Linked DNA regions of Lepisosteus oculatus. The protein of the gene in region 2 purifies or fractionates together with the protein of the main gene of each other region. This does not show direct contact. Links are inferred from orthologs where the notes say so. Each region holds a gene or a part of one and is shown on either strand. Other genes may lie near its edges.

Region 1 (7,664 bases), on a different chromosome or scaffold from region 2:
TTAACTACACTGTTAACCCCAGACTGCAGCGCACTGTGGTGTGATTAACTACACTGTTAGCCCCCGGACTGCAGCGCACTGTGGTGTGATTAACTACACTGTTAGCCCCCGGACTGCAGCGCACTGTGGTGTGATTAACTACACTGTTAACCCCAGACTGCAGCACACTGTGGTGTGATTAACTACACTGTTAACCCCAGACTGCAGCGCACTGTGGTGTGATTAACTACACTGTTAGCCCCCGGACTGCAGCGCACTGTGGTGTGATTAACTACACTGTTAGCCCCAGACTGCAGCGCACTGTGGTGTGCTTAACTACACTGTTAACCCCAGACTGCAGCGCACTGTGGTGTGATTAACTACACTGTTAACCCCCAGACTGCAGCGCACTGTGGTGTGATTAACTACACTGTTAGCCCCCAGACTGCAGCGCACTGTGGTGTGATTAACTACACTGTTAACCCCAGACTGCAGCGCACTGTGGTGTGATTAACTACACTGTTAACCCCCGGACTGCAGCACACTGTGGTGTGATTAACTACACTGTTAACCCCAGACTGCAGCGCACTGTGGTGTGATTAACTACACTGTTAACCCCAGACTGCAGCGCACTGTGGTGTGATTAACTACACTGTTAACCCCCGGACTGCAGCACACTGTGGTGTGCTTAACTACACTGTTAGCCCCCGGACTGCAGCGCACTGTGGTGTGATTAACTACACTGTTAACCCCAGACTGCAGCGCACTGTGGTGTGATTAACTACACTGTTAGCCCCCAGACTGCAGCGCACTGTGGTGTGATTAACTACACTGTTAGCCCCCAGACTGCAGCGCACTGTGGTGTGATTAACTACACTGTTAACCCCAGACTGCAGCGCACTGTGGTGTGATTAACTACACTGTTAGCCCCCGGACTGCAGCACACTGTGGTGTGATTAACTACACTGTTAACCCCAGACTGCAGCGCACTGTGGTGTGATTAACTACACTGTTAGCCCCCGGACTGCAGCGCACTGTGGTGTGATTAACTACACTGTTAACCCCAGACTGCAGCGCACTGTGGTGTGATTAACTACACTGTTAACCCCAGACTGCAGCGCACTGTGGTGTGATTAACTACACTGTTAACCCCAGACTGCAGCGCACTGTGGTGTGATTAACTACACTGTTAACCCCCGGACTGCAGCACACTGTGGTGTGATTAACTACACTGTTAACCCCCGGACTGCAGCGCACTGTGGTGTGATTAACTACACTGTTAGCCCCCAGACTGGAGCGCACTGCTGGATGCCAGGAGTCTGATTAACAACACTGTAAAACCCGGAGTGGATCAGTCTGCCACCGACGGGGTGTCCGACTGCTTGCACAGGTACAGTAAGCACGTCCCCCCCACCAGCAGCTACTCACCCCTGCGCCAGCCCTCCGCGGGCTCCAAACCGGCCCCCCCGGCCCCGCCCCCTGTCGCCTCTGGAGAGAGAGAGAGAGAGATGTTAGATGCTTCCATCACTGGATTGGAGAGACACCCAGCCAGCCGCCTCCACCAGGCCAGTCGGGACCAGAGCAGCGAGGCCACCCCTCTGCTCTCCGCGCAGAGAGACGCAAGCTCGAGTGAGCCCCACCGCGCCTGCAGAAGACCAGGTGCTCCAGTCACACGATCGGTCCACCTGGTTAATTCCATGACGGACTGTAGCACCTCCAGGACTCCGGGGTAACACCCCTACTCTTTTGGAGAAATGCCCTGGGATTTTTAATGACCACAGAGAGTCAGGACCTCGGTTTTACATCTCATCCGAAGGACAGCGCCTATTTACAGTATAGTGTCCCCGTCACTGTACCGGGCCATTAGGACCCACACAGACCGCAGGGTGAGCGCCCCCTGCTGGTCCCACTAACACCTCTTCCAGCTGCAGCCTCAGCTTTCCCAGGAGGTCTCCCCTCCAGAGATGGATGCTGAGCTCCGGTGGGCTGCCAGCAGGGTAACTGTGCGTGAACTGAAGTGAACAGTAGAGCTGCACAAGACCACGATAAAGATCCCGTGTCTTGAGGATGTAAGGGGTCGTTACAGAGTGGAGCCACAGGGCCCGCCCAGCCGCTGGGTATTTAGTAGCTAACTGACCCCCTGCAGCTTGTTCCACACACACACCCCCCTTTGTGTAAGGAAAGGCCACCTGTTCTGAATTTCTCTGTGGTCGCCAGTCGGTTCATTCACAGATCATCCTGCACGAGTCCCGCGGGCTCAGTGCCTCACAGGGCGATTCCAGACGGCCCTCCGACACTAGGTTCATGGATCTTTGACCTCAAGCCCCCCCCAGCACCCTGGCCGGTAGGATAAGCCACTAACCAGCCGGCACGCAGAGACTGGGACCCCCGATGCCGGACAGCCGCACGGTGTTGGAGGCAGGAACGTGCCTTGGCACTCGTCGGGCATACAGACCCTCGGTTCGCCCGCACCTCGGCGGCCAGGTCACGAAGCACACACCGGCCTCGGTGCACTGCCGGTCGGCGCCGTGTGGAAACCGGCACGGTGGGTAACAAAGAGCAGGCCCCAGACCGGCCGCTCGATTACAGCCATTCATTCATCCAGCGCCCGGCACAACACCCTCTTCCGAGAGCTTTTGTTTTAAAAAAAACGCCATTTTCCTTTTACACATCTTGTCACTAAACGCCAGGAAATGGAATTCGAAGGGGACGCAGTTTCAACTTGGGTTTTAGCGATAACATGCAGAGCCCACGCACGCGCGCACACACCCCCGATCCGACACGGGTACGCTAGCTAACTCGAGACCCGAGGCCTGATATGAGGCCTACTTGAGAAGCCGGATTTCAGTTCTGCCAGGACACACCGCGTTGTCAGATTGCGCACAGAAAAAAACAGTTTTCCCTTCCATCTCCTTTGAATTACTGTACCTCATTGCGTACGACGTCTTGACAACTTGAGGGAAGCCACAAAGAGAAATCTTCGGCCGCCGACCTGTCCGCTGGCGTTGCTTCACTACCCAGGGAAACAGCGTCTCCGAACGAGATCGACAACCCAGGGAACCAATCACAGGCGCCAAACGCTTTTCAACAGCAAGAGGCGATTGGTGAGGTGGGGTAGGGGGCGGGGCTCGCAGGCAAACATCCCACATGATTGGTTCTCGTCTAATAGTCTCTGATGCACTTTCGAATGATGACCACTAGAGCGCAGCACTGCAGAACACACTCGGACAATAACAAAGCGAGTGACTTTTCACCAGTGCAAGCGTCTAGCAGAGTGGCGCAGCGGAAGCGTGCTGGGCCCATAACCCAGAGGTCGATGGATCGAAACCATCCTCTGCTAACCATTTTCATTTTTCAGATGAGCCACGTATTAATCTCATTTTACAGCATAGAAACAACACGTAATATAAAAAGCAGTCATGCACACACCTGAAATACTTTTCACACAGGTAAAAGTGTTCCTCTGTATGTTAATGTTGTGTGAAACCTGTCGTAGAAACATCTGGATTAGGCTGAGGTACATCCCTGGTCAAATTTCCCATTGGCCCTTACCAATCATGGCCTCCTAATAATCCCCCTCTCTGAACTGGCTCCATCGCTCTGCTCTCCTCCCCACTGAGAGCTGCTGTGTGGGGAGTGTTCTGGCGCGCTATGGCTGCCATCGCATCATCCAGGTGGGGCTGCACATTGGTGGTGTTGGAGGGGATCCCCATTACCTGTAAAGCGCTTTGAGTGGAGTGTCCAGAAAAGCGCTATATAAGTGTAAGCAATTATTATTATTATTATTATTATTATTATTATTATTATTATTATTATTATTATTATTATTATTATTATTATCCCGGTGGGGCTACTAACTGGTGCTGGTGGAGGGGAGTCCCCATGACCTGTGAAGCACTTTGAGCGGACTGAGAAAGGCGCCATATACGTGTAAGGATTTATTATTATTGTTGTTGTTGTCGTGTGGAAGTTCAAGTAGGGAGCTGTGTCATCAATCGTAGGCTTCTAAGGAACCAGCAAAGGTTTATTCCATGCTGAAAAGAGAAGAAAAGGAAACGTTTCGGCTGTGGAGCCTTATTATCTTCTTCTTAACATTATAATTATGTGGTATTATACGGTACGGCACCAGAGGAATCACGATGGCGAGACTCGGTAAATAAGTGCAATAAAGGAATGCAAATAATAACAATAATAATAATAATAATAATTGCTTACACTTATATAGCGCTTTTCTGGACACCTACCTCTCTTTTATTTTTCTTTGTTATTTTTCCTTGTGATTTTACTGCTGTTCTGAACGTCTTATCAGCGCTCTTGTTCCCCTCGTTGATGTAATTTTAATGAACAATCACGATTAGAATTAATGGTTAGCTACAAAACGCGCTTCACGGCGAATAGAGACATTCGCCCTGCTGGCCACACGGGGGCGCTGTGGGGGAGCCCTTCCGGGTCACTCGCTCAGACTCTCGGCGAGGGAGGCGTTTGTGTTTTTATTATTTTTAGTTGTGGAAGATTTTAAACGACTTTATTTTAGTTTTTTTTTTTCCTCCGGGGAGCAGTCTCGTTTCCCGCTCGCTGTAGAGGGGGAAATGAGCGAGTCCAGTCTGCGCTGGGACACGGGGTGGGTGAAGACTGGCTGTTTCAGGACTGATCTCTTCCCACCTGCTTGTCTTTCTCCTGCTGTGATCCTCACTATAGCAGCATCCTTCTCTGTGTCTCTGTCGGTCCACTCCTGTCTCTCTCCCTGTGTCTCTGTCAGTCCACTCCTCTCTCTCTTTCTCCCTGTGTCTCTGTCTGTCCACTCCTCTCTCTCTCTCCCTGTGTCTCTGTCCACTCCTCTCTCTCCCTGTGTCTCTGTCGATCCACTCCTGTCTCCATGTGTCTCTGTCTGTCCACTCCTCTTTCTCTCTCTCTCTCCCCCCCTGTGTCTCTGTTGGTCCACTCCTCTTTCTCTCTCTCCCCCCCCCCGTGTCTCTGTTGGTCCACTCCTCTCTCCCCCCCCCCCGTGTCTCTGTCTGTCCACTCCTCTCTCTCTCCCTCCCTGTGTCTCTGTCTGTCCACTCCTCTCTCTCTCTGTCTCTGTCTGGTTCTTGACAGCTCTTGCTCTGCGCAGGTGCTGTGACTCTGGGTGACGGTTCTGTGGGGGTCTTCTCCAGAGCCCCGCCCTGGAGAGGGATGTCTGCGTCCGAGGGGGACGTCGGGGGCCGCGTGTGTGCGTTCCTGCGGACAGGGGCGCAGGGAGGCGAGAGGGGCCACGCGGCTGGGGAGATCGCGGCGGCCCTCGGGGGCCCCCCGGTCGGGGATGTCAACCGAGCGCTGTACGAGCTGGAGAGGGGCGGCGCGGTCCGCCGGACCAGGACAGAGCCGCCGCTGTGGAGCCTGGCGGGCTCGGAACCGGAGCCACGCGCGACCACCGGGGCGTCCCCTGAACCCGGGCCCCCGGACCCTCAGAGCGTCCTGAAGGTCCTCCTGTCGGCGGGCCCCGGCGGGGGGCTGCCCGCGCACCGGATCGCCCGCGAGCTCGGCGTCTCGCGGAAGTCGGCAAACCAGCAGCTGTACTCGCTGCTGCGCGGGGGCCAGGTGGACAAGACGGAGGGGCCCCCCGTGCTGTGGAGGCTGCCCAGCCAGACACAGGGCGAGGGGGCAGAGGGGCCGCGCACCGCCGCCCCCTGCAGGCCGGGCGTGCACACTGCGGCCACGAACGGGAGGGACAGGTATGTAGACGGGGGCAGCCGGCATGAGGCCCTGAGCGCTGACTGGCTGAACTAGCGGAGAGACTGGGGGCAGACTGCTGCCATGGTTACGTGGGCGTGAGCCGTCGCTGCCGAGGCGATGGGCGGGGCTGTGGGTGTGCCAGGCAGAGAGAGGGAGAGCGGTCCTGTGTCTCTGCTCAGCACTCTCGTCTTCCTCCTCTCTCTCCTCACTCCTCCCCCCTGCCTCTCCCTCTCCTCACCCCTCCTCCCTCCCTCTCTCTCCTCACCCCTCCTCCCTCCCTCTATCCTCTCTCACTTTCCCCCTCCCTCCTCCTCACTGCCTCTCTCTCCTCACCCCTCCTCCCTCCGTCTCTCCCTCTCTCCCCCCACCCCTCCTCCCTCTCTCTCCCCACCCCTCCTCTCCTCCTCCCTCCCTCTCTCCCCCCACCCCTCCTCTCTCCCTCTCTCTCCTCACCCCTCCTCCCTCCCTCCCTCTCTCTCCCTCCCCCTCCCTCCTCCTCCTCACTGCCTCTCCCTCCTCTCTCTCCTCACCCCTCCTCCCTCCCTCTCTCTCCCTCCCCCTCCCTCCTCCTCCTCACTGCCTCTCCCTCCTCTCTCTCCTCACCCCTCCTCCCTCCCTCTCTCCCTCTCTCTCCTCCTCCCTCCCTCTCCTCCTCCCTCTCTCTCCCTCCCCACCCCTCCTCCCCCTCTCTCCCTGTCTGCCTCTTTCCCAGTGGCCCTGTGCCCCGGCCTCAGCCAGCTGGCCCGGGGGAGGCCCACGCTCTGGCAGCCAGCTTCCAGCACCTGGCCCTGGGGGAGGGGACCCGCCGCGAGCCCCAGGACGTGCTGGGGGTGCTGGAGGGCCTTCCGTCGGGGACCACTGCCCCGGCTGCGCTCATCGCCCGGAAACTGGGGGTCCCCAAAAAAACAGCCAATCAGCACCTGTACAGACTGCTGCGAGAGGGCCGTGTCCGAATGGAGCAAGGGACACCCCCAAAATGGGGTGTTCCATGAGGGGCACCTAGCTGTTGTGCTTCAAAGGGAAGAGGAATAGAAGATGAATATAAAGATCGTTGCGTTGATGTACAGAACAGGTAGAAGGCCGAGTGGTCAGTTATCATGTCATTTTCTGTTTCTGGAATTAAAACCATTCAGCTTTTTGTTTCATTTTTGACCTGTAGTGGAGAACATGGTGCCTGTGCACTGAACTGACTGCAGGCAATAAACTTCTCCAAACAGAACTGGGCTGGAAATTGTGACTGTACTGCCTGACACTCACACTGTCACACTGACACACACACTGACACACTGACACACTCACACTGTCACAATGACACACACACTGACACACTGACGCACACACACTGACACACTCACACTGCCTGACGCACTGACACGCTGACACACTCACTGCCGAGCACTCACACTCACACACACTGGCCCTGCACATCGAGGCTGCCCCCAGATGTCTGAGCCTACACCCCCCTTCACAGGCTTCTACCCCTCCTCTCCCCTCAACCAATCCGTCGCCTGTTTTCGACGTCATCGCGCCGCTCTTCCTGTTTTCCGACGGCGAGGCGGTGGAGCCCACAACACTCTGCGGAGCCTGAGCTGCACTGCCAAACCCCTTAATCCATCTGCAGGTAGGGAGCGCCTTTCTCGTTCGCCCCGGGTGGGTGTTCGCGGAGACACGCGTGGCTGGTGTCGGGGAGTCGGGCCGGGGACGGCGGCGAGCCCAGTTGGTCTGCGCCGGGAGATGTGGCCCCCAGCCGCTCACGACCCGCCTGTGGTATCGCGACATGACGTTCGGGGTGCGTGGAGTGAAGGCTGGCGAGAGTGGGCTGGAGGCGGAAGAGGCAGGGGTCCCGGGTCGCGCTGAGGGGGGGGGTCGGTCGGAGCCGATACTGGCTGTGCATCTGTGCGTGTGAGAATTAGAGGCATCGGGGGGCGTGTGATCGCGAGTCGGAGCTCTGCAGGCGCTAGGGCCGGTCC
Region 2 (7,456 bases):
TTCCCTGCACCCCAGCCTGCGCGAGGAAAGCCAGGGGAAGCCATGTGGCACGTGAAATGGAGAGTCCGGAGGTTCGCTAGGCGACACCATTTTCAAGAAAACACCCACTGCGGTCTCTGCATTAATTCACCAGGAAAGGGTTTCATAAATAGCCTCGATTCACGATCACGTCGGGCGCTGGAGAATATTTTGTTAGGCGAAGGTATACATTTAGGAATGAGAGCAGGATGCCAGATGTGAGCGAACAAAAACAATTTATTCAAAAAATGTTTTCAGTTTTATGCACAGACATCCCCACCTCTCCTCTTGTCACCCTAACCATCAGAACAAACGAAAGTCCCTGAAGCACCCCAAATTCAGAGCCCACCACACACACCAAATATTTAAAATGCACACGTGCTTGCTAAAATTAATGCAAAACCTGCCTCATTTCCTGCTAACGCCCCAGTATTGCCTTGGTGAAAATATCAGCAGGCCTGTGCCTCACTTGGTTTTAAAATCCACACGAAGACCACAGACTGGCTTGTAAAGTTAATTTGTTAGGTTGATTTTTAGTTAGAGGGAAATCAGATGTCAAATACATAAATGATCATTGATAGATTATATTCATTTCAAAAGACTTGGCAGACTGATGTGTTTTTTTTTAAAAAATAAAACAACGAAACACAGCAGGTAGTCCACATGAATAACTGTTGTTCAAGCAGAGGGAGTTGCAAATTCTTTACCTTTGTCTTTTCGGGACTGAGTGTTCCACCTCTATAACTTTTCCGTGGAGTTCTACTTTACCTTGAAAACAAATTAAAAAAACAAAAAAAAATAAGTTTTGCTGTGCCAGTAAAGCGGGAAAATGCACTGTAGGAGAAAATGGAGAGATGGCTTTTCAGAGAATATCGATAATTTCAGTCATCACTCGGCCTTTTAAAATGTTAATTAACTCCCATCGTCATGTTAAGCGTAAGATTTAAAAAAACAACACGAACAAAGTGTGGTCTAATTTACACTTTTCACAAGTGAAGTACAACAGCTATGGCTGACGAATTGCCCCGCGGAAATATCCACAACAAAGTACAAGACGACTATTTGAGTGGCTTTGTAAATTGAGGTTGAATATTTTTTACACAGTCATATAAATCCTATTTTTTAGAGATTAGTTTCCACCAAAAGGTATTCGATTCGAATTTACAAGCTGTGTTTTTTTCTTTAAATTCGTTACAAAAAATCCCTTAAGTATTTGATCCTTTCGTTACGTTGTAGCAATGCACAATAAGACACAGGACCTACCACCAGTGTAGCCACGCTACTCTAAACAAAACACATTTAAAAACATTTTTTTTAAGTTAGATATATCAGTTTTCTCGAAAAAGACAATTCTGTAGAGGGTGGTATTTATTTGAACGAAGCCCGATATAAAAAATGCGGGGAAAAAAAAACTTCAGGCTTGTTTGAGAACCTATAAATATAGTAATTAAAATTTGTTTAGAAGGTAAATACTTTGCATAAGTACACTGTTCTCTGTCATCGGCCTTCTTGGCCCGCTGGTTATTTGTACGTAAAATGCAGCAGCTCAGGCGCTCAGCTTCCTCGGCCCCCGGTAATTGATAATTGAAACTTGTTGTATGAGCCTAACAATCGCAGTGCTTATTTTCAATTGTAATCAGAACATGGACTGCTAACTGAGCCCCGTGCGCCGGGCTCCAGACCTGCCGAGGTCGGTAGTGTACGAGACAAGGGGAGCCTAGGTACCCACACACACATATATACACACACACGCCTCGTTTCAATGAGCACGGATCTTTCTTATTTAAAACGATCGCCGCAGCAATTAGCAAAAACAAAACACACTCTTGAGCACTCGGTTTCCACCCAGGTTCGCCGGCGGTTGGTCTTCTTTCTTACCTGAGAGCGTGTCGATGGCCTTCATAGCACCCTTCTCATCAGGGCAGTCCACAAACGCGTAACCAGTCTTGACGAGAAACGGGCCACTACAAGGAATCTTCCACTCCTGAAAGAGACTTTCCAACTCGACGGGACTCGCGTCTTCACTCAAGTTACCGATATAAAGCTTATTCATGGTGTGCTGCACGGCGAAAATGCAAACCTTTCAGAAAAAAGGCAGACTTATGCGCTCAGATGTACAGCCTTTTTTTTCTCTCTTTTTTGTGAAACGGACTTCTACCAACCAGAGTGTTATTTATATAGAGTATATTTATATATGGATGTTTCACGCGCGCACTCTTCCCCCAGGATAAGTTAACAAGAATATTTTATAACAGCCTTTCCTAAGGATGGCGGGCTTGGCGAAAAGGAGGAGAAAACTACTTTTTGTCGTCCTCCGAACCCCCTTAGCAGACAGACTGTGAAAATGTCACACACGTTAATGTAGGCGCCGCCTCTAAATAAAACCGAGAGGAAAAATCACTTGAATATTCCGGCTTTTTGAATGAGCCACGTGTTCAAACTACAAATCAACTTCTCACGTGAGGAATCCCAGTTCCTCAATTAAATACTAGATTGGGGAAAATGCCACGGGAGTCGGGTGGGGACAGGGGAGGGGGAGCTGGGAAGAGGATTAGTACTGGAAAACCTACGTACATTAAGGATATCTTGTGTGGTGCCGTATCGCTCTTGGATCTCATGCGGGTGCCTTTCTCTCGGTGCTCCGCTTCTCATTGGCTGCTGGCCGAAACAGTGGAGCCGCGTCGCGGGCGAGGGTCTGGGCCGGCCGGCCTGCCAGGGGCTGGGGGGGCGCTGCACGGCGGCGGGGGAGGGGGCGCGCCGCGGGCGCCCTATAGGAGAGCGCCTATAGGCGTGTGCGAGGGCCACGGCTGTGGTGATGTGTTCTCCCTCGCCTGCTGGGGGCGAGAGGCGTCTTCTCCAGCCCCCTCACCCGCGGGCATGCATCTCCACGCGTGAGGCGGGTGTCGCCGTGAGCAGAATCAAACCACATTTTTAAAAGCGTCGCTCTTCCTTCCTTCCCAATGGAGGAGCCGAGCGCCTCGGCCAACGACCGGCTTGTGACGCTGCCCAGTGCCCGTATAGCCGGAACTCAAAACACGGGTCCGACTGTTCCTCCTCACCGTCGGGCCCCCCGCCACAGCAACCATTTCCCGAGTGGGAAGGGCGTGCTGGGGCTCTGCTCTGCTCGCCTCCGCCGCACAGTCGTTTCTGGGGGGGTGGGGAAGGGGCTGAATCCCTCTGAATTACTTCTGCTCGATTCATAGCTAGACGACATTAATCTTCCTCGTAAGTAAAAGGTTGTGGCGCACATTCTAAAACAACTGCGTCTGCGTGTACCCAAACGCACAGTGCTAGTTTCAGACATTCTTTCAAGAGCAGGAATATAACCCCGATCTATAGCAGTGGGATTCGTCCGAGTACTTCCAGGTTATAAAATAAAAATAACCTTTTAGATTTCGATACTAAAAACAGGCCCATTTTGCATAAATAAAGCGGTACCTCAACGATAGTGTGACCATATGGTAAATGCAGTACTTTCTCTGGGAACAATTCCTCCGCTTTAGTGTGTATAAGTATTTTCTGCGAGGCCGACACGTCGTGAAGGGTTTGGGGTGGGAGGGGGAGGGATACTGTAGCCTGTGTGTGTGTTTCTGATCTCCACAACACGCATTGCCCAAGTCTCCTCTTTAGGCCTTTTCGCGTACGAATAGGCCACGAACATATTCATGTACGCGTACGTGTGGCTGTAGCCGACGTGCCCTTATGCGGGGACGCCGTCTTGGTGGTGGTGGTGGTGGGGATACTCTGCTCTGGGAGCAGCAGCAGTACAGTCAGGGTTCCTGTCTTCCCCTCCGCGGCCTCCATTGTAGCCGAGCCCAGCGCAGACAATGCAGGACTGTGACAAACCAGAGCCCGGCGCGCAGCTCATCAGGCCCCTCCGCTCCGTCCAAGAAAGGGCGGCCGCGGAGCGCCAAGGCCAGTGGTGGCTGGGGACACGGGTGAGAGAGAGGGGAGCGAAAACAGGTTCATGTGTATCGAGCCGTGAGCGAGCGAGCGAGGATCTGTAGCTGGGCTCCCTTTCTTTGCACACGGCTGAACAGAGTCGCGTCGTTTCAGTGAAACACTGGTGGGGATGTGTGTATTTGTGAATAAGAGACAAGGCGACGAGGGCGGTTTAATGAAAAACAATCATTCGTTCATTCCAGTTTCTTTAGCGGGATCGTGCCTTCAGTGCCCCTTTGAGGCTGTACATTTCCAAGTAGTTCAACGTGCTCAAAGGTAATGCGGTTAACTCCGGGAAAAACTCCCTTTTTTAAAAAAGAAAAACAACACATAATGTAGCAAGTGTGGGGAAAGAGGAAATTACCTGTCAAATCTGTTCACAAAAATAAGACAGTCTCTTAAGAGATCTGAGAGGTCAGGTGCTGGCACGACATAGTTATTGCTAGTAAAAGGATATTTTATATTTAACTCGTAGATCTACAAAACCTTGTTTCAGTGCACGATGTAGTTTACCGGTGGCTCTGAAATATACGATGCAAAGTTGAATTCTACACCGCATAACTCGGTATCGCCTGTCCAAATATACAGTACATGGGTGATTTATTTTGAAATCGTCTCCATTTCGATGTTTTTGAGAACAGCGTGCGTGATTAAAAACGCTTCAGTTTTCTTCCAGTTTCAGACAACTAGTAGTTCCCGTGCTAGTAAATATTCCCGCACTTCTAGATGAGCCACACGGGTGATGGCTTTGTCTTGCCAGTGTGCCAGTTTGTCTGGGGTGGCAGTGCCCTACCAAGACTAAAGGGGTTCACAGCTTTCCAAGACACGTTGACCGTTTGCTCGTTTAAAGTTTTTTTTTCCCCCCTAATTAAGGGGGGATTCGTGGAGGGCTGACGGTGGCAGTGGATAATAACGCTCACAAATCACAGCACCCTCGCAGCTGCCTGCGTGGAAGGCTCGGCGCCTCGGCCTCCAGACGCCCTGACCCGCAGGGCGGGCACCGCAGACGCCCCCGGCTCTCGGGTCCATCGCCCATCGCGGATGATCGCCACCGAATATCGAACGAGGGAGGCGCAGGGAAAGCTGGAGAAGAAGCCCACATAATTCGGCATACAACACGTCGAATCCTGCATCTTAGAATATTACTGTTGAAGTATTTGGATTGTTAAAATGGCAGGCTTTTTATAACATGTTATTTTCTTTCTTGGCTAAGAGAAGATGTTCAGTTATTTCTGCTCTGGTGTTGTGTGTAATTAGTTGATAAACAGGCTTCTGCGGAGACACAGAACTTGCATTTACTGCGAAACGTCGCATATAACGCGCATGTGGAGACTTATATGTAGGCTACGTGTTCGTCTGAAAATGCTGACAGCTGACAGCACCGCGGAGAGACTACAGGGCGGTTCACGGTTTTGTGAGACGTTCTGAAGCATGGGAATGAGCAGCAGAGCGTTTCCCCTCGGCAGACATGTCTGTGCACCGAGTCAGTCACAGCAGCGCTCATCCCCGACATGGGCGCCCTGATCTGCCGGTGATGTCACAGCGGACCGCGCATTCCATCACCAGGAGCCATCTTGCCCCACGCCGCGTGCTCTGCGCCGCTTTCCAGACGGCTGGCGCGGGACCCGAACCCGATTTGTCCACGACACGCGCGTTCGATGCTGCCCGGGAGTGTGTCTGGTGCAGTTCGCTAGCCTGTATCCTGATCCTCGCACACATGTAGGTCACCTGTAGCTGCTGCGTTCCTACTCAGAAATACAAAATGTCTTGCGCTGCTGTGCTTCAGAGTGTATGACACTCTCGCCCAGGTGCGGTGCTTTAAACATGAGCTGACAAAACGTTTCTTAAATTGCATGATCGGGATATAAATGACACCTATTGACGGTGCACGTCCCGTGTCTCTTTGAAAGGTGCAATCGCAAAGCCCAGCCCTTCTCGCTCGTTTGAAAAGAGCCTCTCCCCCGGCTCCCATGAAGCAGAATGAGCAAGTAAGGACTAATAACTGATATTAACCGTCTGGACGACCCAATTACGTCTCCGCTGCTGGGGGCCCTTTCATCTCGTCTTCGGGCGCGTTTAGGGACGAGGCCCTTCGCCACCCTTGTGAGAGGGGTGAACCCGGGTCCCGCAGGCCTGGACCGTGCCACAGGCCCGCCCGGCCCCCCGCGCCTGGCGGTCTTCTTTCTCCACTGACCGCTTCCCGTTCTTCCCGGGATATCGACCCGGCTCCGGGCACATTGGGGACCTGTGGGTTCGTCTCACAGCTCCGTGTCGAGCGTGGCAGCGGCCAGCCGTGGGGGAGAAGAGGGAGTCTCCTGGAGGAATCGCCAGCGGTTCTCCAGCCGCCCTCTGAAGGCCGGGGCCCTCGTCTGGCTCGTCCTGACGAGTCAGGTCATTGGCAGCCCATCGGGTCCTGTATCGGTCCCGTGAGCAGGCCCGGCCGCGGGTTCAGACCACTGCCGCCGCCGTTAGGAGCGGACATTCAACTTCCGCTGTTTCAAAACGGATGAGGAACAAGAAATGCTAACAGTTCAAGATAGCTGTGTCTTTTAATAAGATATTTTAAGTATGTGTGAGACCATGTGCAAAGGCTAGAATGAAACCACTCAGGCTGAATATTCAATATATTTTTGAAAGATTTTGAAAGAAAGATCAAATTATCTACGTAGCATTCAAGCTTTACGACGAAAAGACATCGCTACGGGTAGTCTGGTGTCAACAGAACAAATGTAAATAGAAAAGCACTACAACTTCAACGACGTACCTTGTGATTTTCCAGTTATTAAATAAGTATTCCACATATTAAACCAAATATTCTGCTGTCTGTTCTGCAAAGCCAGGGACTTGTGCTTCGGTGTTCTAAAGATTTGAAAATGTGCTTGAACACACTGTTCTGCAATTAGAGCTTGTTGTGGAGCCTTGCGTTGTATCTTACAGAAATAACGCGTACATGGATTTTATTAAATAACCGGAAACTGCGCAAACCAATCTTTAAATAGCACTTGGATCTATACTGTTGGGATTTTATTTTCCTATACGAGTACTCTGCCTTTTGGGGAACTGCGGGAACTTGAGCCGTTGTCTCCCAGACCGAAGTTTGATACTCTCCCCTTCACACGGAGCTGGAGCAGGTAAGCGGCCCGTGTCCAAGTGGATGAAACTAGGTCCGGTCTGGAGCAAGCAGAGGTTAATACTGTAGAGAAGACCCCGTCCGAGCTGTACAGACACCTGCACCTTCTCCGTCTCCCTCACGCCCGGGGAAGAACGTCTGCGTGGGGTTTTTTTTTTCTTTGTATTGTCAGGCGTGGAAGTCTACTTTTCAGAGAACACGAGTGTTACCACGCAGCCCCCCCGAGAAGAAGAGGAAACTGCTTCACACAGGCGCCGCAGCAGCGGGAGAGGAAAAGCTCGTCCTCTGCGCGCACAGCACCCACCCTGCCGCCAGGGCGGGGAGGAGATTTTTTTTTGCAATTGTACGAAACCGGTCTTTTAACAT

Evidence for each region. The genes of interacting proteins can lie anywhere in the genome.
Region 1: the proteins of igf2bp3 (region 2) and ilf2 purify together in Homo sapiens (affinity purification with mass spectrometry; 3 studies listed by BioGRID and IntAct, counting the BioPlex papers as one, with this or other methods). This does not show direct contact. The link is inferred for Lepisosteus oculatus from reciprocal best matches to the Homo sapiens genes IGF2BP3 and ILF2.

What each region holds. Positions count from the first base shown.
Region 1 is NC_090722.1:6,551,776-6,559,439, forward strand, and holds the start of ilf2 (interleukin enhancer-binding factor 2 homolog), read right to left. Parts: upstream 3,027-7,664; 5' UTR 2,913-3,026; coding exon 2,908-2,912; intron 1,468-2,907; coding exon 1,408-1,467; intron 1-1,407. Other genes in the region: uncharacterized protein, read left to right, coding at 5,155-5,693, 6,407-6,686; adar (double-stranded RNA-specific adenosine deaminase), read left to right, coding at 7,138-7,315. UniProt on the Homo sapiens protein: Chromatin-interacting protein that forms a stable heterodimer with interleukin enhancer-binding factor 3/ILF3 and plays a role in several biological processes including transcription, innate immunity or cell growth.
Region 2 is NC_090705.1:1,201,515-1,208,970, reverse strand, and holds the start of igf2bp3 (insulin-like growth factor 2 mRNA-binding protein 3), read right to left. Parts: upstream 3,001-7,456; 5' UTR 2,671-3,000; coding exon 2,593-2,670; intron 2,099-2,592; coding exon 1,897-2,098; intron 787-1,896; coding exon 726-786; intron 1-725. UniProt on the Homo sapiens protein: RNA-binding factor that may recruit target transcripts to cytoplasmic protein-RNA complexes (mRNPs). This transcript 'caging' into mRNPs allows mRNA transport and transient storage.